Sus scrofa: one gene and its partners. The protein of the gene in region 3 purifies or fractionates together with the protein of the main gene of each other region. This does not show direct contact. Links are inferred from orthologs where the notes say so. Each region holds a gene or a part of one and is shown on either strand. Other genes may lie near its edges.

The links.
Region 1: the proteins of BSG (region 3) and ATP2B4 purify together in Homo sapiens (affinity purification with mass spectrometry; 3 studies listed by BioGRID and IntAct, counting the BioPlex papers as one, with this or other methods). This does not show direct contact. The link is inferred for Sus scrofa from reciprocal best matches to the Homo sapiens genes BSG and ATP2B4.
Region 2: the proteins of BSG (region 3) and SYMPK purify together in Homo sapiens (co-immunoprecipitation; 3 studies listed by BioGRID and IntAct, counting the BioPlex papers as one, with this or other methods). This does not show direct contact. The link is inferred for Sus scrofa from reciprocal best matches to the Homo sapiens genes BSG and SYMPK.

The regions. Positions count from the first base shown.
Region 1 is NC_010451.4:64,400,285-64,407,962, reverse strand, and holds part of ATP2B4 (plasma membrane calcium-transporting ATPase 4), read right to left. Parts: intron 5,632-7,678; coding exon 5,434-5,631; intron 4,797-5,433; coding exon 4,539-4,796; intron 3,833-4,538; coding exon 3,707-3,832; intron 3,209-3,706; coding exon 3,083-3,208; intron 1,963-3,082; coding exon 1,927-1,962; intron 400-1,926; coding exon 238-399; intron 1-237. UniProt on the Homo sapiens protein: Calcium/calmodulin-regulated and magnesium-dependent enzyme that catalyzes the hydrolysis of ATP coupled with the transport of calcium out of the cell. By regulating sperm cell calcium homeostasis, may play a role in sperm motility.
Region 2 is NC_010448.4:52,175,154-52,183,492, reverse strand, and holds the start of SYMPK (symplekin), read left to right. Parts: upstream 1-3,110; 5' UTR 3,111-3,293; intron 3,294-8,339. Other genes in the region: FOXA3 (hepatocyte nuclear factor 3-gamma), read right to left, coding at 2,175-2,243. UniProt on the Homo sapiens protein: Scaffold protein that functions as a component of a multimolecular complex involved in histone mRNA 3'-end processing. Specific component of the tight junction (TJ) plaque, but might not be an exclusively junctional component. May have a house-keeping rule.
Region 3 is NC_010444.4:77,736,626-77,743,078, forward strand, and holds part of BSG (basigin precursor), read right to left. Parts: intron 1,879-6,453; coding exon 1,722-1,878; intron 1,256-1,721; coding exon 1,173-1,255; intron 1,027-1,172; coding exon 890-1,026; intron 820-889; coding exon 543-819; exon of another isoform or gene 342-542; coding exon of another isoform or gene 327-341; exon of another isoform or gene 49-326; coding exon 24-48; intron 1-23.

The DNA of each region.
Region 1 (7,678 bases), on a different chromosome or scaffold from region 3:
CTTCCCATTTGTTTGGGCCTTTAACCCTCACACATAGGAAAATATCTCTTTCTTCAAACGCCAAGGGAACGGCCACATGGTCACAGGGAGGGACTTAGCTACCCAGATTGCACTAGCCACTGGCAATTTTCAGCTTCTTTCTCCTAGACCTGGTTGGTGTAGAAAGAAGACAATCAAAGCAGCAAGGATCCGAAATAGCACCGATGAACAGCATCGAGAGGGCTCCACCCTACTTACCAGCTTTCCCAATCTGAACAGCCAAGCGCGTCAGCTTGCCTTGCAGCACCGACTTCTCCTTTTTGGGCAGCTTGGCAGCCTTTTTCTCCTTTTCCTCATTGTCGATTCCCTCCTGGCTGTTGAGTGGCTGAATTTCCAAGGCCACTCCATCCTGAGTCTTTGCTAGGGTGTACACACAAACAGAACAGGTGAGTAGGCCAGGTAGTAGCACTGCGTAGCAGGTAGGTGGAAACTAACAAACCCTCCGTCTTATTCCTGGAATATACCTTGGAGCCTTGACTTCAGGTCTGACCACCCTCACTCCATGCCAGACAGGGAACTTGCCTTTCGACCATCTATAAGGGCCTTGGGAATGATATCTGAACAACTAGAGGTGAAATGGATACTTTTGGGGCATGGATTTCCTCTTCAGTGGCAGCTTCTTGGCACTACGTCAGAGCCCCAGGCCAGGTTCGTTGTTCCAGCAAGAGGATTAGTCATGCCACTAAGTGCTGTTACCAACAACCATCCTTCCTGGAATTCAGTGCTTAAAATAATGAGTCTTTACTTCAGAAAGGGGCTGAAGGGGGACGCTGTAGATGTTTCCAGAGCATCGGGGTCCTAGTCAGCTCTTTAAAAGGTGCATCTCTCTCTCTCTAGACTGTCATGGAAGAAACACAGAACACAGGCTATCTCCCAGCTCCCCCTTGTGTTAACTGAACGACAGGGGAAGGAAATCTCCCCTGTCTGACGAAGGCAGGGGGATACAGAGTGGGACCTGGGGGAAAGGGAAGAAGCTGGTGTGAGGGACTCCCTGGAATAAGAGAAAGCAGGAATAAAGACAGACATAAATCCATTTTGCTTTAAAAAGAAGAGTTCAAGGAATCTAAAATTAAAGAATTATTTCTGTGGAGCCCTGGGTTCGCCGAAGTGATGACTTTATTCTGAAGACTACCATGACGTGGGTTACAAAAGGAAAAAAATCTCTAGGCGCTGTCTCAAGAGAGTGGTTCTTGTTGGTTTCCAACAGCCCTCCAACTTCACCCCTGCAGAGCTTGACCCCTTTGGTTAGATGCCCTTCCTGAGATATTATTGTCTCTGTTGTCACACTCACAAACAAGACAGAGACAGGATGTAAACACGGCCACCAAAAAAGAAACACACATCAGATTAGGAGGAAGAAAACAGACTGTGGAGAGAACAAGGAAAGAGGTGGGGAAAGAGGTTACGTAGAAAGGGCTCTGTCCACCCTGGAGAAGACGAGCAGAGAAGGAATCCAGACCGGAAGAGGACACCGATGAGGAAGCTGGCAAGAGGAGGGTGCAGGGACTGCCCATCCCAACTCCCTCCACCATATGCACCCTGAAGCCTTCCAACCCAGAAATTGATGCCTTGTGGTGTTTAAATCCGGTATGGGGCAATGAGGCAAAGAGCTCAGTACCCTGGGAAGAGCAGATTTGCTCCCCCAAGAGAAACTTTGACATGAGGTTCCTTGAGCCAACAGCAGAGGGTGCTGTTGTCCCAGCTTCGATTGGGTTTGGGAGCTTGCGACCATCCCCAAATCTCTGCACCTTCCTCGGGATAAGGGATCCCGGCCACAGCAGCAGATAACAGATTTATGGAGAGGAAAAGGGAGAAGGCAGATGGCCTGGAAAGGTCTGGTTTGAGTGTGGCAGGTAGAAATGGTAAATGAGTGGGTGGAGAGGTTACCTTTGTTGCGATTTTCAGGGGCTCCTTGTTTTTTACCTGTTTGAACAAGAAAGAAAAAAGTGGGGTGGAGACCCAAAGTGACTATTAAGAGATCAGACAGTCAGATCTCTTAATCTGACTGGTCCTGCTCAGAGCCCAAACGGGCGACAGCAAAGGGGCTGAGTTGCAGGGCAGGGACTGCAGTGGAAGCTGGCATCTCCGTTTACATCTATAAGGGGCTCCTCCTCGAGATCTGGACCAGACCACTCATCCACAAGCACGCACACCCACTTCCGAGCTGCCTTCTCCTGGAGCACGGCTGGCCTGAGTCATATCACTTTTCTCCTGGCCTGCGTCACATCACTTGGAGAACGGCAGTGGGGGTTAGGAAGTGAGAGGTTTGGACTTTTTCTGGCTGATGGCAAAGGCCCTGAAAGGTGCCTCCATGTCATTTCGCCAGCACCAGGCAAGCCTCCTCCCGACTCCCTTGCAAGCAGCTGCAGAAATAGTCTAGTTCCTGAGCAGATGTGTTTCGTTTCCTTTTCCTTAACTGTCCTCCACTCAACTGCCCAAGATGGACCACGAGCCAAGGGAAGAGGAATGCTTAGGGAAAGGGGTAGATTTGCTTTAGCATCTTTTTTGCCTTCTGTTTTTCTTTCAGGAACAAGTGAACGGTAAAGACAAAGCTAACTCCTGGATGGACATTCCCTCTCTATTCCCACTCTCCTGGCCACGTCTCCCTTCCACCAACAGCCTGTAGTTTCAGCAGTTTCTTCTCCCGGATAGTTTTCCCTTAGCCTCGATGGTGCTTATAATCCTCCATGTCTGAGGAAGAAAGGGGGAAGGGTCGGAGGACTCCACAGAGGGGGTCTGGGGCCAGAACCCCTCACCAGCTCATTTGGGGCAGGCCCTCCACCTCATTCCTTTACAATCCACCAACAGATGCAGGAATCGAGGCTCAAAGGCAACCTGGTTTGGGAGCCTAGAGCCAGGATCTGATTTTTAGGAGCGCACTGTGGGGAGCACAGCTTATCTTGGCAAGGGGTTTGGATACAAGCCCTCGTCATCCAGCGGATTCTTCCACCCAGGTCCTCTCCAACCACATCTGCTCCCTTCCCTAGTTTGTCCATGCGGATGGGAGCGAGGAAAGGGATGCTCATCCCGAAAGCCCCTTTACCTTTCTTCTTCTTCTCCCCTTCTTCCCCTTCACTGGCCCCCAAGAGGGTAAAGATGATTCCAGTCTGAGAGTTGATACCCACAGCAGTCACTACCATTCGGCCAGAACCTTCCATGACATGGGTCCCTATATGAGAAAGAAGATGGGAGAACTGTTGGTCTTTTTTTTTTTTTTTTTTTGGCTGCACCTGCAGCATAGAGCAGTTCCCAGGGCAGGGATAGAATCCATGCCAATCACAACGCCAGATCCTTAACCCACTGTGCCACCAGGGAACTCCCAATAAGTGGCTTTTATACCCAGCCAAACTTTAGTGTGAAACATGAACTTGAGAGCAAGCAAAAGGGGGGAGGAGAGCAATGTGTCTAACTGCTTTAGGGTAAGGCTCCTTTTCCCACCATCCAAGCCTGGCCAGCAGGGCCCTTCCCAGACCCTAAAGCACTGGCTTCGCAGACAACCTCTTTGAGGTTGCCTGATATCCTTATAGTCAACCTACTAATATGCTGCTTTCCCCATTGAACTTGGGGCAGGAGATTGGGCAGGGCCAGGAGAGAACGAGGTCTGGATATGATCTCTGTGTCTGTCTGGGGGAGGCAGAATGGGAACTGGCATAGCCAGGGGCCATACCTGAGAGCAACATGGGGTCTCTTTCCAAGGATTTCTTGACATGGTCTGATTCACCAGTCAGAGAGCTCTCATCAATCTTGAGATCATTCCCCTGGATCAGGATCCCATCTGCGGGCAGCAGGTCACCTAGTACACAGAAGGGAAGGAGCAACAGGGCAAGAGGGTAGGTTAGAACCTGCTGGAGGGTGAGGACCATCTAACCCCATCTCAGGGCTGCTCCCATAGGCCCCACCTATAGGGCAATGGCCCACAAAGTATCTGCAGAGCCTTTGAAAGACAACTTCAGCTCTGACAATCTGGGATAACATTCTTCTTCAGGTATTATGTATTCAAACAGTTACCTTCCATAGCCTGAATATTACATACTTTTAATTTTTTTAATTTTTTAGGGCCACACTTGAGGCATATAGAAGTTCCCAGGCTAGAGGTCAAATCCGAGCCATAGTTGCCAGCCTACACCACAGCCATAGCAATGCCAGATCTGAGCCACATCTGCGACCTATACCACAGCTCATGGCAACACTAGATCCTTAACCTGCTGAGTAAGGCCAGGGATCAAACCCACACCCTCAGGGATACTAGTGAGCCACAGGGAACTCCCTGAGTATTACATAGTTTTAACCTAAGACACACAAGGTTAAATCTTTGGGGAGAGGTTTATTTACTGCTTTCTTTGAACTTCTTTCCCACAACCTCCTCAAACTCTAACCTAAAAACTAACACAACGTTGGGTCTTTTTGGGTCCTCGGCAATTCCCAGCTCCCCCACACTGGCAAAGGCCCTAAACCTCAAATAGGGAGGGTGGCACAGGGACAAGAAACAGCGGTCTCACCGTATTTGATTTGGGCAATATCACCCACCACGATCTCGGCCACAGGGAGCTGGATGATGTGACCATTTCGGATAACGGAGAATTTCTGTTCCTTTTCAATGCGGTTCTGCAGCCCCCGGAACTGTTTCTCTTTGCTCCAATCATTGAAGGCAGTCACTAGCACCACGATGATCACTGAGAATAGGATGGCTGCCCCCTCAATCCAGCCGGCTTCTGCCTCTCCTTCGTCTTCTGGGCTACTTACGGGTAGACCACACTCTAGCCCAGGGAAAGGAGAGAGAGGAAGGGTCACCACGGGCTTTTGCTGACATTAAGAAGGAGGCTTGTGCTTCTGCAACCCTCCCCCGCCCCCTGCCCCGATAGAAAGTGAGGGAAAGGGAATAACAGAAAACTCTTGGGTAGAATGGCTTTCCTCTGAGGATGCTGAGGACAGCAGGATTGGTCACCATCCCCTCACCAATATAACTATATATGTTCACCCCCAATGAAGCACGTGACAAAATAGCATGAGACATGTCCATGCACATTGCAGGCTAGTCACATATAAAGAACTTAGGACCCCCAGCATGGGAGCTCCCAAGGCTGCTTCCCATGACGTCACACACCTGGGGGGAGGGTGGACTTTCAGACTCGGGGCTTTGTTGGTCGAGTGAGGGTTGAAAATTCATGACATTACGAACAAAGATTTGATGGGAGAAGGGGAAAAAGGCCCTGGAATCGGGATGGGTTGGAAGACTAGCTTACTCGCTACTTGTTAAGTTTCCTTTGGAGAACCCCCTCTGGATAATCGGGGGAAATTTTTAAGTTATAATTTGAAACACCAAGACTAGGTGCTTTTGGGTGGTGATGGAAAGGACCCAGATCAGGGTGGTGCTAGGCTCTTCAAGACACTCACGTTCATTTTCTTCCCCAGGGGGGCGGTAGAAGGACAGGACCAGGGAGATGATGGCTGCAATCTCCAGGATGATGAGCGTGACATCTTGAAGGGCTTCCCACACTAATTCCAAGAACGTCTTGGGCTTTTTGGGGGGAATAAAGTTCTGCCCAAACACTTGTTTACGTTTCTCCAGATCTGCAGGGTTCCCAGATAGACCTGAAAAAGAGATAGAAGTGCGGTGAAGGAGCAAGAAAAAAGACAAAAAGATGAATGACAGACGAAGGTAGTTAAAAGATCACTTTAAAAAAGATCCCTTTTAGAGTTCCCGTCATGGCACAGCGGAAATGAATTGATTAGGAACCATGAGGTTGCAGGTTCGATCCCTGGCCTTGCTCAGTGGGTTAAGGATCTGGCGTTGCCGTGAGCTGGGGTGTAGGCTGGCAGCAGCAATAGCTGCAATTCGACCCCTAGCCTGGGAACCTCCATATGCAGCAGGTGCAGCCCTAAAAAGAAAGAAAGAAAAAAAAAAGATCCCTTGCTTCCTGATCTGTGCAAGTATGAGGATCCAGGTAGGGTGACCAACAACTTCAATTTGCCCTGGACTCAGTGGGGTGTGAAACCAGTACAAGCTGGTCACAGGGGCCACTCACTCTTCTTGGTCTCTAGGGTAAGCGAACCCAGGCCTAAAACTTTATCTCCCCCTCACTGAGTTTGCTCTAGGCTTCAGCTCTAGGAACACAGACATTAAAATATCTCCTGGGACGTATACAGAACTTTTCTCTCACATTAACATGTAAGTGCTGGTCATGATTTAAAAACAGAGCTGGCTTCCATCCACTGGCTCATACGCAAAGGCCAGAAAGAATAAGCTATCTGCTCAAAGTCATATTAGGAGGTGAAGAGACAGAGCCCAACCAATTGTCCTGATTCCAAGTTCCAGTGGCTTTAGGAGATCAACAAAGCGGAGGCTTCGAGACTCTAACTCTGGGCATCTCCTTTAAGCACACATGGCCATCCTTTTCTGTCACACACAGAAGCACGCACACACATCACTAAGAGGTAGTACTGCTTATACAGACTATGTACTTAGAGATGTACTAAGTACGACTTAGACAAAGTACTAAGAGAAGCATACTATTCAGGTTGAATAAAAAGAAAATAATAGGGAGTTCCTGTTGTGGCTCAGTGGTTAACGAATCCGACTAGGAACCATGAGATTGTGGGTTCGATCCCTGGCCTTGCTCAGTGGGTTAAGGATCTGGTGTTGCCATGAGCTGTGGTGTAGGTCACAGATGCGGCTCAGATCTGGCATTGCTGTGACTGGTGTAGGCTGGTGGCTACAGCTCCGATTCGACCCCTAGCCTGGGAACCTCCATATGCCACAGGAGCGGCCCAAGAAATGGCAAAAAAGACCAAAAAAAAAAAAAAAAAAAAAAAAAGAAAGAAAGAAAGAAAGAAAAAAGAAAACAATAAAGGTGAAACTACTGAGTTAGACAGAATTCAGCCCTTGACTACCACCAGCACATGCCCCACTAACACACATGTATGATTATACAAGCTGTGGGAGTATGCACATGTATCCAGCCATGTTCCCAGAGAGAAAAAGAGTTAGGCAAGACTATTCTCAGTGCCTTCATTATATTTAGGCCTTCCTGCTGGGCCCCAGGAGGGTTATCCTTTCAGGAGAGGGGAGAACGCTTGTCACTAAAAGCCAGGTGGCATTTACCAAGTTGTTGACACACAGTAGCAAATCAGCCCTGGTTTTGGCACTGGACATTGTTGGCTGTACTACTGTTCCATGGGCTCCCCACGGGCGGGGTAAGGCAACCTTTGTCTTGAGAAAACATCAGCTGCTGAGGATGGTTAGAATCAGAGTATGGGCCACTTGACCCAGCTTCGCATGGAGGTACAAGAAAAGCAGATGACTGGAAGTTGCAAGGAAAAAATGGGGAGACTGATGCCAGAGGACTTCTTCACACCTTAGTTAATGGCTTAGTCCATGAAGGGCTACTCCACTGGTGGAGATGGGGGCGTAGCAGAAAGGCAAACAGCTATTCTCCATGTCCACTGCATAGGACCCAAGAATGCTGTGTTAAATGGCACGGGGAGAGATTTGGGTTAGAACTAAGGAAGACACTCAGACAAAGATGCTGAAAATGGGAAAACAGGTACCCAAGGGAGTATTGTTGGCAGAGTCCATTTCTCCCTCCTAAAACCAAAAATCAACTATATCTGGTCACTTATGATGGAGCATGATGGAGGA
Region 2 (8,339 bases), on a different chromosome or scaffold from region 3:
GAATTTCTCCTCTTTCATTTCCTTATTGTCTCCGAAGGAGGGTGTGACGGGGAGCAGAGGGAGGCAGTGTGAAGCCAGAAGCCTAGTTTCGAATCCCAGTCCTGGCCTAAGACTTCATGTGGGGTCTTGCAGACCCCAGGCTCCAAGATTTTAGGTTTTCCATCTCGAAAATGGGGAAGCAGTTGGACCAGCTGATCTGTGAGAAGCTGACGCCTTAGAGAGAACTTGCCAATTTCCTTCCAGACAGGGAGCCAGCCTGGGGGGTCAACATCACCCTGGGAGGGGGCTGTGGTGGGCGAGAAGCAGGTTGGGGGCCCCCTCAGTTCTCAGTCGCCAGGTGAGTACTTTTCTCCCTGCACTGTTGTGACAGGGGTGGAGGTGGGGGACATGGTTCCTCTGATGGGAAAGCTGAGGAAACCTTCAGACGGTGTATTTCCATTTCCTGCCCCCCATGCGTCAACTCTTCCAAAATATGCCCCCAAGTGCTGACCATCTCTAGACTGTTCCTCCATTTCAGAGACAACTTCCATACAACTTGTCCCCTAAACTTCAGACTGTGCCCCAAATAATGACTCCTTTAGCCCAGACCACCCCCCCAGTTTACTTACTAAGGTATGTCCCCCAAAGATTGATTTGTGGTCGGTACCCTTAAATCATGTCCCCAGACTGTGAACTATCCCGGGTGGGGTGGGGGTTCAGCTGGGATCCCCCACTACCTGGGAGCGTCCACCTCCAACCCGGTCTCTGCCTTCCTCCACATGCAACTGACATCTCCAGCCACCCTGCCTCCACTTCTCAACCTTTCCGATCCCTTCCCTGCCCCACCCCACGTGCACCTCACACCTCCTCAGCCCCAGGTCTGGCCCCTCCTGGGCACCATGCCAAGGTCCGCAGGCCTGGGTAGCCAGGAGTCCCACCCTACAGCTTCAAACCCCAGACCCAGGACTTAGACACGCTGGGGCCCCTGGAAACCCTAGATCTTAGTCTCTTTGGAGACTCAACTATTCAAGTCCCACACCCGACTTTGAGCCTACAGTTTCCTTCCAGGTTAGAAACCCAAGTATCCAGATCCCCATAACCCTCTGACTAGGGCTCCCCCCCTGCCTCACACACACATACATACATCAGGTTGACCAGAGAGAGAGTGAGCTAAGGAGAAGGAGTCCTTGCAGCGAGAGGAATGGGAGTTAGACCGGGGAAGGCTTCGCCATTCCCCGGGGCGAGGAACTTAAGATACACCCCTGCTCCCTACTCCAGGGAAGTCTGGTCAGAGGTGGGACTGGTGAGGACATTAGCAATTAGTGGAGATTGCTGGAAGATGGGGTGGGGGGTGTGAAATCTGAAACCCTCCAGACTCCCAACAAGGAGAATCCCTGCTGAGGGTCTCTAATAACAATTAAACCTCTGAAGTTCAGCTGGGAGGGGTGAGGGTCATGATTAGGGATGGGGGAGTGTTACCCCCCTTTGCCGCCAATGCTCTTGCCACATCCCCTGCTCTCAGGATCCCAACTCTGACCCCTTCTGTCTCTAACTGAGCCCCAGTTCCTAAATCACCTGTTATTTCTCACTCTCCAAACCAAGCTTCATCTCTAAGCATTTTCATCTCTTTATCTGAGCCCCAACTCCTACGTCTCACTTTAAAGCAGATGGCAGCCCCAATCCTTATCCTGGAACCCCAATTCTTATTTCTACCCCAGAACCCCCATTTTTAACATTGAACTTTAACCCTGAGCTCTCAGTTCAGACTTCCCTTAATGGTGACCTCCCTCCACCTCCCATCTCTTAGTCCCTACCTTTTCCCCCAATTCTGGACCCCATTTCCTAATCCCCCAGCTCTGAGTCTTATCTTTGGTTTGTTCACTTTAATTCCTCGGACTTTAGGTCCCTGACACCCAGCTCTCACGTTTAAACTATGACTTGACCCTTGCCTAAATCTTCTTGACTCTCTTTTAAGCCCTCACTCCTACTAGACTGCCTAAGCCGCGCTCTCATGCATTGTCCCCCTTTCTTGACTCCTGCACACCTGGTCTTCGTGTCTCCAGTTCCTCTGCTCCCCAGTTCCAGTCGGGGCCCCCATCTGAGTCCATACCCCAGTCCTTGCCCCCCATTTAGATCCGCACCCTGATTCCTCCCCCCGCCCCCCACTTCCCGCTCCGCCATCCCCGAGGACACACCTCGCCCGCCTCCGGATAGTAGCTCCACTCGGCCAGGTCATGGGCCTCCATCTTCACCGAGCCCAGCATCCCCCGGGCCTGCGCCCCCACCCGCCCCTGCTCCGGCCCCGGGGGGATCGCAGCGGCGCTTCGGATCCCTCAGCCGGCACGGCCCGAGTCCTGACCGGCGCCGGTCCGTCCGACCGCCCAGGGTCCCAGCCGTCCCGGGCGCCGCGGGAGGCGGCCGCGCTTTATAGTCGAGACAACCGCTCCCCCCACCCGCCCTTGCCCGCCCTGGGCTCCCCTCCCGCCTCCCCGAGGGCGGTGTGCCCGTACTGGGGCGCCCCCTGCGGGATTGCGAGGAGACAGACCTCAGGCGCCGGGAGCCGCAGCCCGGGGACGTGAGAGCTGGAGATGGCTGAAGAGCGAGGGAGCTACAGATGGGAGATACTTCTGACAGTAATAACAGCCTCGAGGGCAGAACTCTAGGGCCCCACCCTTCTACCCATCTCGACCGGAGCCAGCGAACAGCCAGAGACCAGCATGTCTGCTGCGAAAGAAAGGGCGCTTAGAGGCGAAGCGGTCTCCAGAGATCCCCATGTGTTCCTCTAAGGACAGTAAGTGATCCTCGAAATCACATTTCTCATTCGACGGACTGGAAGACTGAAGCTACTGATCGCCGGAAATGTTGCAGACCGTGTAAATGGCCAAGACCAAAGGTGGAGGGGATCGGGGCCTCTGCTCATATCTCACTAGGGCAACAGACCACTTCCAACACCTAGGAGCTTCGCTTCCGGGACTCTCCGCTCTCTCTAACAGCAGCCGTCCAGGGACCCAGAACCACTGAGAACTCCATTTCCCAGAAGCCTCTATCTCCCTTTCCGTCCAGCCCCCGTCAAAGGACTATATTTCCCAGAAGGCTTGGCGCCCCAAAGCCGGAAATGAAGGGCGTAGTAGGAAGGCCGCTGGCGCGGCAGAAAGTAGGGGCGGAGTCCGGCCGCAGAGTGGACTCCAATTCCCAGCGACTCTGCGTGCGGGACGCGTGCGCAGTGTCACGGCGGCGAGCGGAAGATGGCGGCGGCGGCGTCTGGGAAGAGGCGCTGCTGAGGGGGCGCGAGGGGGACGGAGGCCCGAGCCGTGGTGAGCGGGGGGTGGCGTGGGGGCCCGGGGACGAAGGGAGAAAGAACGCTGAAAGGGCAGAAGCGCTGTCGGGGGCAATGGGGACGCTGAGAGGAGAGGGAAGCAGTGACTCTCGGGACCGCAGTGTCTTCCCCGGCTCAGGACCCTCCCGTGGCTGCTTAGTGCCCTCAGGGCAAAGTTCCAACGTGGCCCCCAAGGCGCGTACGCCCCGCGGGCCGCGGCTCTGCCTCTTTGCTGGTTCCTCACTTTGCACACCTGCTCTGGCCTCTCGGTTCCGCACACTCGCCGTACGCCTTCCCGCCTCAGGCTTTTTGCACATGCAGTCCCCTCTGTCTCAACATCCCTTTTACTCATTCCGCCAGGCTAACTCCCATTCATCTTTTGGGTCTCCGTACCAACGTCACTTCCTCTACCAAGCCCTCCTTTCCCGCCCTCCGTTCCGCAGTCCGCCTGTTTTATGCTCTCATGGGTCCCTGTTCCTTTCCTTTCAGTCATTTGGGGTCTCGTTTGTTATTGGGCCTTTATTTGTGTGGCTCGTTAGTTCTGTCTGTGACCACGAATTCCACGGGGGCAGGGACTGGGTGTGTGTTGGTCACCGCCGTGTTCCCAGCACAGCACGGTTACGCTAAAAATGCTCAGTTAATGTTCGTTGAATGAATGAAAGATAGTCATGGGACCACTCTGTGTATGAGAGGAGTGGTCATACGCCCGGGTGGGAGTAGGGCAGTGGGACTTCCTACTGGACTCCCTAAGGAATACGCGGGGGAGTTCCTGTTGTGGCTCAGCGGGTTACAAACCCACCTAGTATCCGTGAGGATGCGGGTTCGATCCCTGGGCTCGCCCTGTGGGTTGAGGCAAGCATTGCTGGAAGCTGCAGCATAGATCAGACACAGCTTGGATCCAGCGTTGCTGTGGCTATGGTGTAGGCTGGCAGCTGCAGCTCTGATTTTACCCCTAGCCTGGGAACTTACATTTGCTGCAGGTGCGGCCCTAAAAAGCAAAAAAAAAAAAAAAAAAAAAAAAAAAAAAAGTGCTCCAGAGATCCGGAAGAGGAAGAAATGTTTGTTGGTAGTAGCAAAAGACTACAACCACCGCAGATGTCTTTAGTAGGGAGACTGGCGGGGTTGGGGGGCAGTGAGCAGTCACATAATAAAATATTATGCAACTGTTAAAAATAAATGAGGGGGAGTTATCTTTGTGGCTCAGCGGTTAATGATCGCGACCAGGGTACACGAGGATGCTGGTTTGACCCTAGCCTCGTTCAGTGGATTAAGGATCCAGCGTTGCTGTGAGCTGTGGTGTAGATCGCAGAAATGGCTTGGATCTGGTGTTGCTGTGACTGTGGCATAGGCTGGCAGCTGCAGCTCCAATTCAACCCCTAACCTGGGAATTTCCACATGCAGTGGATGCGTCCCTAAACAGCAAAAAAGAAAAAGAAAACGAAAGAAAGAAAGAAAAAGGAATGAGGGGAGGGAGTTCTGGTTATGGCTCAGCAGGTTAGGACCTGACCTTGACCTTGAGGGTGTAGCTTCCATCCCTGGCCTCGCTCAATGGGTTAAGGATCCCGGGTTAAGGATGTTGGAGTAAGCTGCCGTGGAGGTCGCAGATGCCCCTTGGATCCCTTGGATCCCGTGTTGCCATGGCTGTGGCTCCAATTTGACCTCTGGCCAGAGAACTTCCATATGCAGTGGGTGTAAAAAGAAAAAGAAGAAAAAAAAGAAAGAAAAGGAAATATGTGCATACGTTTTGGGGAAAAAAAAAACAAAAAGTGGAAGAGGAAAGACACGGTAAAAAGTTTGGGTGGATCCATGTAGTCTCATCTTGAAAAGAGTGGAAAGGTTCAAAGTAAAAAGGTTCATTATGTTCTGATGGGGAGCAGCAGATACTGGATTATTGGGTGGCCATACCGTTTGACTTGCATGAACAGACCTGGGGTGGGGAAGCAGTTCTTTTTATAGAAGCAGTCCAGCACAGTGGTGAGAAGGCTAGATTCTGCAGCCACCCCATTAGGTCTGCATCTTACAAGTCGTGAGCCTTTGATCAAGTGACTTTACCTACTTGAATTTCAAATTTCCTCATCTGTAAAATGGAGATTAAAAATAGGGAGTTCCCAGGAGTTACTGTTGTGGCACGGCAGAAAAGAATCCGACTAGGAACCATGAGTTTGTGGGTGCGATCCCTGGCCTTGCTCAGTGGGTTAAGGATCTGGCGTTGCTGTAAGCTGCGGTATAGGTCTCAGATGCAGCTTGGATCTGGTGTTGCTGTGGCTGTGGCCGAGGCCAGCAGCTACAGTTCTGATTAGACCCCAAGCCTGGGAACCTCCATGTGCTGTGGGTGCAGCCCTAAAAAGACAAAATAAATAAACAATTAAAAAATAGTATCTAGGAGTTCCTGTCGTGGCGCAGTGGTTAACGAATCCGACTAGGAACCATGAGGTTGTGGGTTCGGTCCCTGGCCTTGCTCAGTGGGTTAACGATCCGGCGTTGCCGTGAGCTGTGGTGTAGGTTACAGACGTGGCTCGGATCCCACGTTGCTGTGGCTCTGGTGTAGGCCAGTGGCTACAGCTCCGATTCGACCCCTAGCCTGGGAACCTCCATATGCCGCGGGAGCGGCCCAAGAAATAGCAAAAAAAAAAAAGACAAAAAAAAAAAAAATAGTATCTACCTCAGGAGTTCCCATTCTGACTAAGCAGTAATGAACCCGACTGGTATCCATGAGGACTCAGGTTCAATCCCTGTCCCTGTTCAGTGGGTTAAGAAGCTGGTGTTGCTCTGAGCTGTGGTGTAGGTCACAGATGTCGTTCGGATCCCCTGTTGCTGTGGCTGTGGTATAGGCCAGCAGCTACAGCTCCTGCTGGACCCCTAGCCTGGGAACATCTGTATGCCATAGGAGTGGCCCTAAAAAGACCAAAAAAAAAAAAAAAGAGTGCCTACCTCACAGAGTTGGTGTTGTGGGTTTAAATAAATTAATATGTATTAGAATTGTGCCCAGCGCATTTTAAATGTTCAATAAGTATTACCTGTTTTTCTTTCTTTTGTTTTTCCCCACGCATTTTAGAGCCAAAAGGTAGGGATACTAACCAAGCCCAGTGATGGTTGAAGCCCTTTGGCATTTGCTCAGCAGATTTTTCTTGAACACTTACTAGATGCCAAGCAGTGTTCCATGCTGGGGCTAGAGAAAGTGAACACACAACACATACACACAAATCTCTGAGAACCTATAAACATGTTTGTGTTGATGATAATAAATGCCATGGAGAAAAACAAAGTGACACAGATGGAGAGGGAGAGGAAATTGCAGTTTGAAATAGGATGGTCAGAGAAGACCTCACTGCTGGGATATTTGAGTTGAGACCTGAAGGAAATAAGGAGGGAGAGCAGAGAGAAATGAGGGCAGAGATAGGAGGGGCCAGATCACATAAAGTCTAGGCTTTGACTAAGTGAGATGTGGCCGTGATAGGCTGCACGGAGACTGGAAAGGACACTGGTGTGTTCATTCAGCAGATACCTTTTGAATTAACTACTCTGTACAGCATATTGTGTTTCTTTTAAAAGATGCATCTTTTGAAGTTCCCCTTATAGCGCAGAGGAAACGAATCCAACTAGGAACCATGAGGTTTCGGGTTCGATCCTGGGCCTCATTCAGTGGGTTAAGGATCCATCGTAGCTGTGGCTGTGGTGTAGGCTGGCAGCTATAGCTCCAATTCGACCCCTAGCCTGAGAATATCCAAATGCTGCGGGTGTGGCCCTAAAAAGACAAAAGACAAATAAATAAATAGAAAGCATCTTTTTCACCTTCCTCAGATTATTTACTGCTTATGCAGTAGCCTTTAGGTCAATAAAAATAGTAGCTGTACTTATCTCATGTTTACTATGTATACTAACTCCTCCTCAGAATAGTCCTGGGAGGTAAACACTGTTACCATCCCTGTATTACAGAAGAGGCAGCTGACACCCAGTTTTTTGCCTCAGGTTATTCTGGGTTACAGACACAAACTTGGCCAAAGTTGGTTGAATTGTATACATTTTCCTGTGATGTGTCAGGTTGTCATTGTCATCTTTTCCTGATAATACATTGAGATCCATCTTTTTTTTTTTTAACTATTTCCTCCCTTTTCTACTTTCTTTTTTTTTTTTAAATATGTGGATATGTTACCTTCATTTTTTCTTCTTTTTTTTCCTTTTGAGGGCTGCACCCGCAGCATATTCCCAGGCTAGGGGGATTTGGAGCTGTTGCTGCCAGCCTGCGCCACAGCCACAGCAACACCAGATCCAAGCTGTATCTGTGACCAACACCACAGCTCACGGCAATGCTGGATCCCTAACCCACTAAGTGAGGCCCGGGATGGAACCCAAGTCCTCATGGATAGTAGTTGGGTTCATTACCACTGAGCCACAATGGGAACCACCTCTCTTATTTATAAAAAGGAAACATGCATGAACATTGTCTTCATTTAGCTTGCGGGGTTTTTTTTTTGTTTTTTTGTTTTTGTCTTTTTGCCTTTTCTAGGGCCACACCCACTGCATATGGAGGTTCCCAGGCTAGGGGTCGAATTGGAGCTGTAGCCCGGCCTACGCCAGAGCCACAGCAACGCAGGATCTGAGCTGTGTCTGCAACCTACACTACAGCTCACCGCAATGCTGGATCCTTAACCCACTGAGCGAGGCCAGGGATCGAACCCGCAACCTCATGGTTCCTAGTCGGATTCGTTAACCACTGCGCCACGATGGGAACTCCTCACTTAGCTTGTTTTTACTTAATATCTGCTAGAGCCCACTGTTTAGCAGTGTATGGAGATATTTTCCTCATTCCTGTTTTTCCCTTTCCGCATTCCTTTTTACAGTTGCATGGTATCTTATTATGTGGATATATCATAGTTTTTCAGCCAATATCCCTATTTGAGAACACTTATTTGGATAGATAATAGTCTTTTGCTCTTAGGAGCAGTCCTATAATTGATATCTTGCTTATTTCATAATTTTGCCAGTGTGACTTTGGGACAGATGCCCAAAAGTTCCCTACCCCCTTTAATTTAAAAAAAAAAAT
Region 3 (6,453 bases):
ACCTCCACAAGCCCGAGACTCACAGTGGAGCAGAGCCGGTGTCCTCATCTGTGCAAGGGGCAGCACATGCAAAAGAGGAGGGGGGAGTTAGCAGAGCAGGCCCTATGCTGCCCATCGAACACGTGGGGATCCGGCACACCCCTGTGACAGGCACCCTCAAGTGAGCTCTCCAGGGTAGCAGCATGAAGGGCACCTGGGAGGGCTGTCTGTGTCCCCAACCCCAGCCCGCAGGCAGATGCCCCGGTCCCAGTTGCCCCATCATGCAAGGTCTGGGCTTGCTTGGCACCACAGCCCTGGACCCCAAGCAGCCACACAAGGGCACTCACCATGGAGGAGGCCCACTGGCAGCCCAGGAGGGAGGAGAGAAGGCAAGTGAGGCTGTGTGGCCACAGACCCTCAGCCAGGGAAGGGGCAGGGCCTCCGGGAGTCTCCGGGACAGTGGCCGAGGGGGCTGACCCTCAGCCCCACACTCCAGGCCGCCGCCCTAGCCCCATGGTGTCCCCACCCAGAAGAGGAGCAGAAGGCACATAGGGCCAGCTCACCATCCAGGACCTCATCCGGCTTCCGCCGCTTCTCATAGATGAAGATGACGGTGACCAGCACAAGCACCTCAGCCACGATGCCCAGGAAGGGCCAGAGGGCGGCAAAGCGGTTGCGCACACGCAGCACGATGACCGCCTGGCCGGTGCCCTCAGAGCTGGTGCCATTGCACGCGTACTTGCCCGGGTCCTCCTTCAGGTCCAGGTCTGGGATGTGCAGCTCTGTCTTGGTCTCCGAGGAGACCACGAAGAACTTGTTCTGGGAGCTGTTGGCGATGACCTGGGGGCAGGCAGATGTTGTGGAGGGCCGCAGCGGGGCTCAAGCCCTCCCTGGCCGGTGCAAGCCTCACCTGGTCCCCAGAGTCACTCATCTTGTACCATAGCCACTCGGTGACTGGCGGGAAGGAGTCCGACTTGCAGGCCAGCACCACGGTCTCCCCCTCGGTAGCGTGCTCTGACTTCTTCACAGCCTTGACATTAGGTGGCCCTGCAGGGAGAGCAGGCAGGAGCCTAACCAGGTGGAGGACAGAGGTGGAAACACCCTGCCCCCATCTGGATTAGGATTTGCGCATGCGTCCCTCCCGCACCCCACCTCCCCTCCAACACTGCCCTGCAGAGCCCAGGGGAGCCCACCCTTCACTTCCAGGTCTGTGCGGCCCGCGTGCTCTGGCAGGAAGATGCAGGAGTACTGGCCTGAGCGGTCGTCTGAGTCCACCCTGTAGCAGACATGGTATGAGAGAAGCAGCCTGTTGAAACCTCCACCGGACAGGCAGCCCCAGAGAACAGGGACCAGGGGTGTGCGGGGCAGCAGGCAGGATCACTCCACATCAGGGAGCCTGGCCCCACCACCCTCCAAGCTCATAGCAGTGTTCTAGGCTTCTGGAGCCACTCCTCGTCCCAAACTGGGTGTCACATTGGTCCCTGGAGTGCCCAGACCCCATCTCACAGGAAGGAGGGATGGGTTTGAGAGGTGATGAAGTCTTGCAGCCAGCTGCCCCTTGCTGGGTCCCAGACCTCAGCCCAAGCCTGTTTCTAATGTGTGCAAAGCCAGGCCACAACTACAACCTCCAGCCTGGCCAAGGCCTGGCGGCCAGGAGAGGTCAGAGCAGGCAGGGCCAGCAGCCCTGACCCCGCCCCATGATCAGGCCCCAGCCCCTTCCCTGCTGGGAGGGCCTCACTCACTCAAACTCTGTCCTCAGGTCAGGCAGCGCATCCTCCTTTAGCACCTTGCCCCCCTTCTCCCAGCGGTGGCCCGCGATCTCAGTGGCGCTGTGATTCAGGGCACAGGTGAGGCGTGTTTTGGAGCCAACATCATCTATCGAGGTCCAGATCCTGCTCCCTGGGCAGCCAAAGATAAGGTGAAAAGGGAAGAACCCAGGCCACTGGCTGCTTGTCCCCATGGCAAACCCGAGTGGTCCCAACCCCGACCGCACAGAGGGAGAAGCCAGGGCTGGTTCACAGAGCTGAGCACTGTGGGGCCCCTGGAAGGACCTCCCCTCGGGGTCAGAGGCAGGATTCTGGGAGGAATGGTCTCAACTGGCTGGGCCTAGGTGTGGGAACAGAAGCAGCGCCCACCCTGGTCTGGGTACAAGGACCAAGACAGTGACTGCAGGGTCCAGCGCCAGCAGACCCCAAATGCCCCTTTGGAAAGTCAGTCTACTGCTGCCCAGGTCACCATCCCCTCTGGGTGGCGTTGCATCTCCCCTCCCCTGATCAAGGCAGGCCGTCTGAGGTGGGTCAGGTGTGCTGTTTCCTCCTGCCTGTGAGGCTGGGGTGACCCCCAGAGCCTTGGAACAGCCGGCAGCCCTTCCACTGGTTTCTAAGCAGGTAAACCACCCCGTCCTCGAAAATGTTTTCTTTAGGAACCAAAACATAGAAAACACTTAGAACTAGACAGTAAGAGACATGGCTATGAGAGCTGAGAGACTGGGCTTGAGCTGGGAGGATTCCTCTGCAGGGAGGGCCCTGGGGCATGAGACCCCAGACCTCCATGTGTTTGGGATCAGGAGAGCAGATCAGAACAAGAACCCTTTTGCCGGGCAGGGCTGCAACCCCCATCAGTGGAGTAGCCACACTACAGCCCTGTCCCAGAGCAGACAACACTGTCCCTGGGGACGGTGGGGACTTTATAAAGGTGGGTCTGAGGCACAGCAGTGTTAGCGCAATTGTTAGCCTACCCAGAAGTGACCCTCTGGAAAGGCCACCCACCCTCACATATCTCAGAGGCATCCCCTGGAGAAGGTCATGGACACAGGACACGGGCTGAGAGCCAGCCCAGGAAGAAGCCTGTGGTGTAAAGTCAGGTGAAAGAGCAGAATACAAGCCTGTACTTGAACAACCCAGCCAAGTAAGAAGGCACTGAGGGGAAAGCAGCTACAGGGACACAGACGACAGGCCGGCAGCCAGGCAGCAGCTCTTAACACCCACTGGGCAAGCCACCCTCCCTAGGTCCTTGCTTCCTCCCTGGGGTTACATGGTGACTTCTGACAGTGTAACTATGCGAGCACAGAAAAAACACACGAAACTGGGTGGAATGATCAGAGGTCGTGACCCCCACTTGGACAGTCACCTTAGCCACCTGGCAGTCAGATCAGCGAACCTCAGTCCCGAGGAAAGATATCCCCACAGCAAGAGAAGAGGGTACCTGGCTGCAGAGGATACCAGGTTCACACTCACACATGAGCAGGGCTGGCCTGGGCTCCCTCCGTCCACAGGGACGCCTTAGCTGCTAGGAAAATGAAAGCCCGGATCCCAAGCCAGACTTTCCCATCAAGCCACTTTCTGGAACGGCTGCAGACAGAGTGCACTGTGTCCTCTTCAGGCATCTGAGATCCGGGCCTGGAGGACATGGGTCCTGCCCAGGCCTGCCTGTTAGGTTCTTGCTGGGCTGACCATGCTCCACTCTGTCCCACTATGGACTGGCCACAGGAGGGCCCTGGCTCCCCAGGTGCATTTCCAGCCTGCGGGACGCTGGCCTCTTGGTGTAGAGGTGGGACCCAAGGCCAGCCCATGGACAGGATGTGTGCATGGCCAGGCCTCAGTGCCCCACCTCTGGCTACCCACTGGGTCTTTCTTTAAGAGAAGACAGGATGTCTCAGAGGCCCAGGTCAGCAGGGACGGAAGCAAAAAACTAGATGGCAGTGCCAGGGGGAGAGCAAGGAGGCCCCTAGCGGTCCACACCTGTAGCTACTTGTGTATACACACATACACACACTCACAGGCACGTGTGCTCAGAGTTCCCAGGCTGTGTGGGTGAGCACAGCTACTGGCCACAAGGTCCTGGGGACAAGCCGACCTTCACATCTGCCCACCTGGGGCCACCAAAAGGCAACTCAAGCCTCAGGCCAAGCAGTTACAGCCAGATAGGGCATGAGGCTGGATGCTCACCTCTATACCACTTTCACCAAAGAAGGCCCCCTGGCAACCTGCACTTCTCCAGTCAAGATTTCCCAAGACTGCAGAACCAGCAGCTCCTATAGCAGAGCTGGGATTGGTGAGCAGGGTAGGAAGTCAGGCCAGAAGCAGCCCTTCTCCCAGACGGGACCTGCCTCTCTCCAGGAGACCTGGGCACCCAGGAGCTTCTAGAAAGATTAGTCAGGTCTTGTCCAGGCCCCACCCGGCCTCCTGGGGGAGAAAGAAGTACCTGCAGGCCACTTTTAGGTGGCAGTCAGGTGGGAGGCCTTAGCTCTAAGAGAGGGGCTGAGAGCTAACCAACCCCAACCCTCCCAGGAGGGGCCTCCTGGGCTGCCCCATGGCTGACACCCCTGCCCTCACCCAAGGTCCACAGACAGCTGGGGAACCAGCCAGGTGCCCCATCTGGCCACTGCCAGCCTGTCCGCCCAAGAAGCCCCCTGTGATCTGCCACATCCCAGTCAACCATAAAACAGGGCCGGGTCACTCCAAGTAGGCTACTGTGGCGGTGGCCCTCCCAGGGTGACCACAGAAATGCTGCCACAGGTGATGTTACTCTGTGACACTAACAGGCCACTGGACAGGACCATTAGGAAGAATGCCTCAGAATGCTCCTTGGAGTGAAAAGTACAACCTCAGCCACACCGACCCTCCAGGAGGCCCAAGGCAGCAGCACCCCTAGAAACTAGAGGCCCCTGGCCATGGGCAGCAGCTTGTCCTCCCAGAGCACCAGGAACAGGGAGATGCCTGACCCTCCTCCCCAGAAAAGTGAAAACTCAATTCTGGCCAAGTGACTTGTAACCCACGTTCTCAAGTAAAGTCACCTTCATCTAAAAACAGCCACTCTCCTCCGTGCCCACTTGGTGGCTGGGCCGGCATGAGGCCAGGCAGCCTGGCAGTAAACAGCCTGAAGTGTTCAGGATGCGGCAGCTAGGTAATGGAGAACATTCCTGGGATACCAGCCTCAACTCCTTACCCCCCCAACCCTGCTTGGAGGAGGTTCCCAAAGCCCCTTAGCTGAGGCTCAGAGGGGCACCCAGCTAGCAAGCCTGTGCTGGTCTCCCCAGCCCTCCCAGGACGACAGGACCCTGCACAATCCTGGGGAGCCAGGGTCTCCTACAGGAGGATCATCCTGGAGCCTCAGGTGACAAAGGTGCTGAGGACACCACTCCTGGCAGAGTCCTCCGAAGCAAGTTTCTAGAGAGCTGACCTGGCCAGGAGAGGCAAACACTGCCACTCACTCACCCCAGGTGGAAAAAGGACCCATGACCCAGACGTTTAGGTCATCCCTAGTCCCTGGGAAAGGCAGGAAGTGAAAAGGGAAAGCTAAGGCACAGACACAGCATAAATTCACCAGGACTACCAACTGCACACACCCCAGGTGATGTGCGTATTTGAGGACAGCCCCAAGGTGATGACAGAGGAGTAGTGCTCCCAGCAGAGGAAGATGGAAGGCCCTCCCTTCCCTCTGGCCAGGGCTGCATCTAAAGGGCACTCATCTTGCCTGGGGCTCCTCTTCCCAAAGAGAGCAGGCAGCGCGCCTGCCAGGGGCCGTGCCCTTGCCCAGAGGCGGTCAATAAATGCCCATTGTGATTATAAGGAAAAGGAAAGAAACTGAGGCCTTGAAGTGGGTCACGGGTAACCCACTTACTGAAAAGCTGGTGAAGCTTTTACAAGAAGCAGCCCCTCCCAGGCCCTGCCCAGCCCTATGCAGTTTCCTGCTATAACAGCAGCCACTGAGGATAGAAGCTGGCACACTCCTGCTTCCCCCAGGGGGAAGTCTCAGGCCCAGCTGGTCTGCACTTTGTTCTCTCCCTGCCGCTCACTATGAATTGTTAACTGAGAACCAAACGAAGTCCCCATCGATTCGGGAAGAAAATGTCTCCCTCTCAGGCAAAAGAGAGAATGGGAGGGCTTGCTTTCTCCGGGGAAAACACGCCTTAATCCATCTTCCAAAGACCATTCTCTAAAACACGTCTTCCCACCCCACAGTCTACCGCTCCTGTGAAGAGCTCTGAAAACAAAACGCTTGTTTGTGCGACTGTAAAAACAGCTCCCCCCGCCCCCACGCTTCCTACTCCCAACCCAGTGGCTCACGATGACCTTGGAATACCTCCCCTACCGGCCAGGGCCTCAGTTTCCACCCCAGTAAAAAGAAGAGGATGGACTAGCCGCCATCTCCTTCTGGGCCCCGAAATCAGGCACAACCAAAGGAAGCGGAGTGTCGGCCTCCCTACAAGGGTTAAAGTGTTCGGGGACCCCAGGAGCAGCTGCACAGCCAGAGCGAGACACGAGACCTAAATCCCAGGAAGAATGACAATCCCTTCAGCCGGAGAGCCGGCTAGCCCCAGGGGCCGTCACGTACTTGGGTGCCCGCGTCCCCTTGGGGACAAGAGCCCACTTCTCGGATGACAGCCAGGCTTCGGCGCCCGGGGGCTCCCCTGCAGCCCCCGCCCCAGCACACCGAGCAGAAAGGCCCATCCTATGCTGCCTCGGGCAGGTA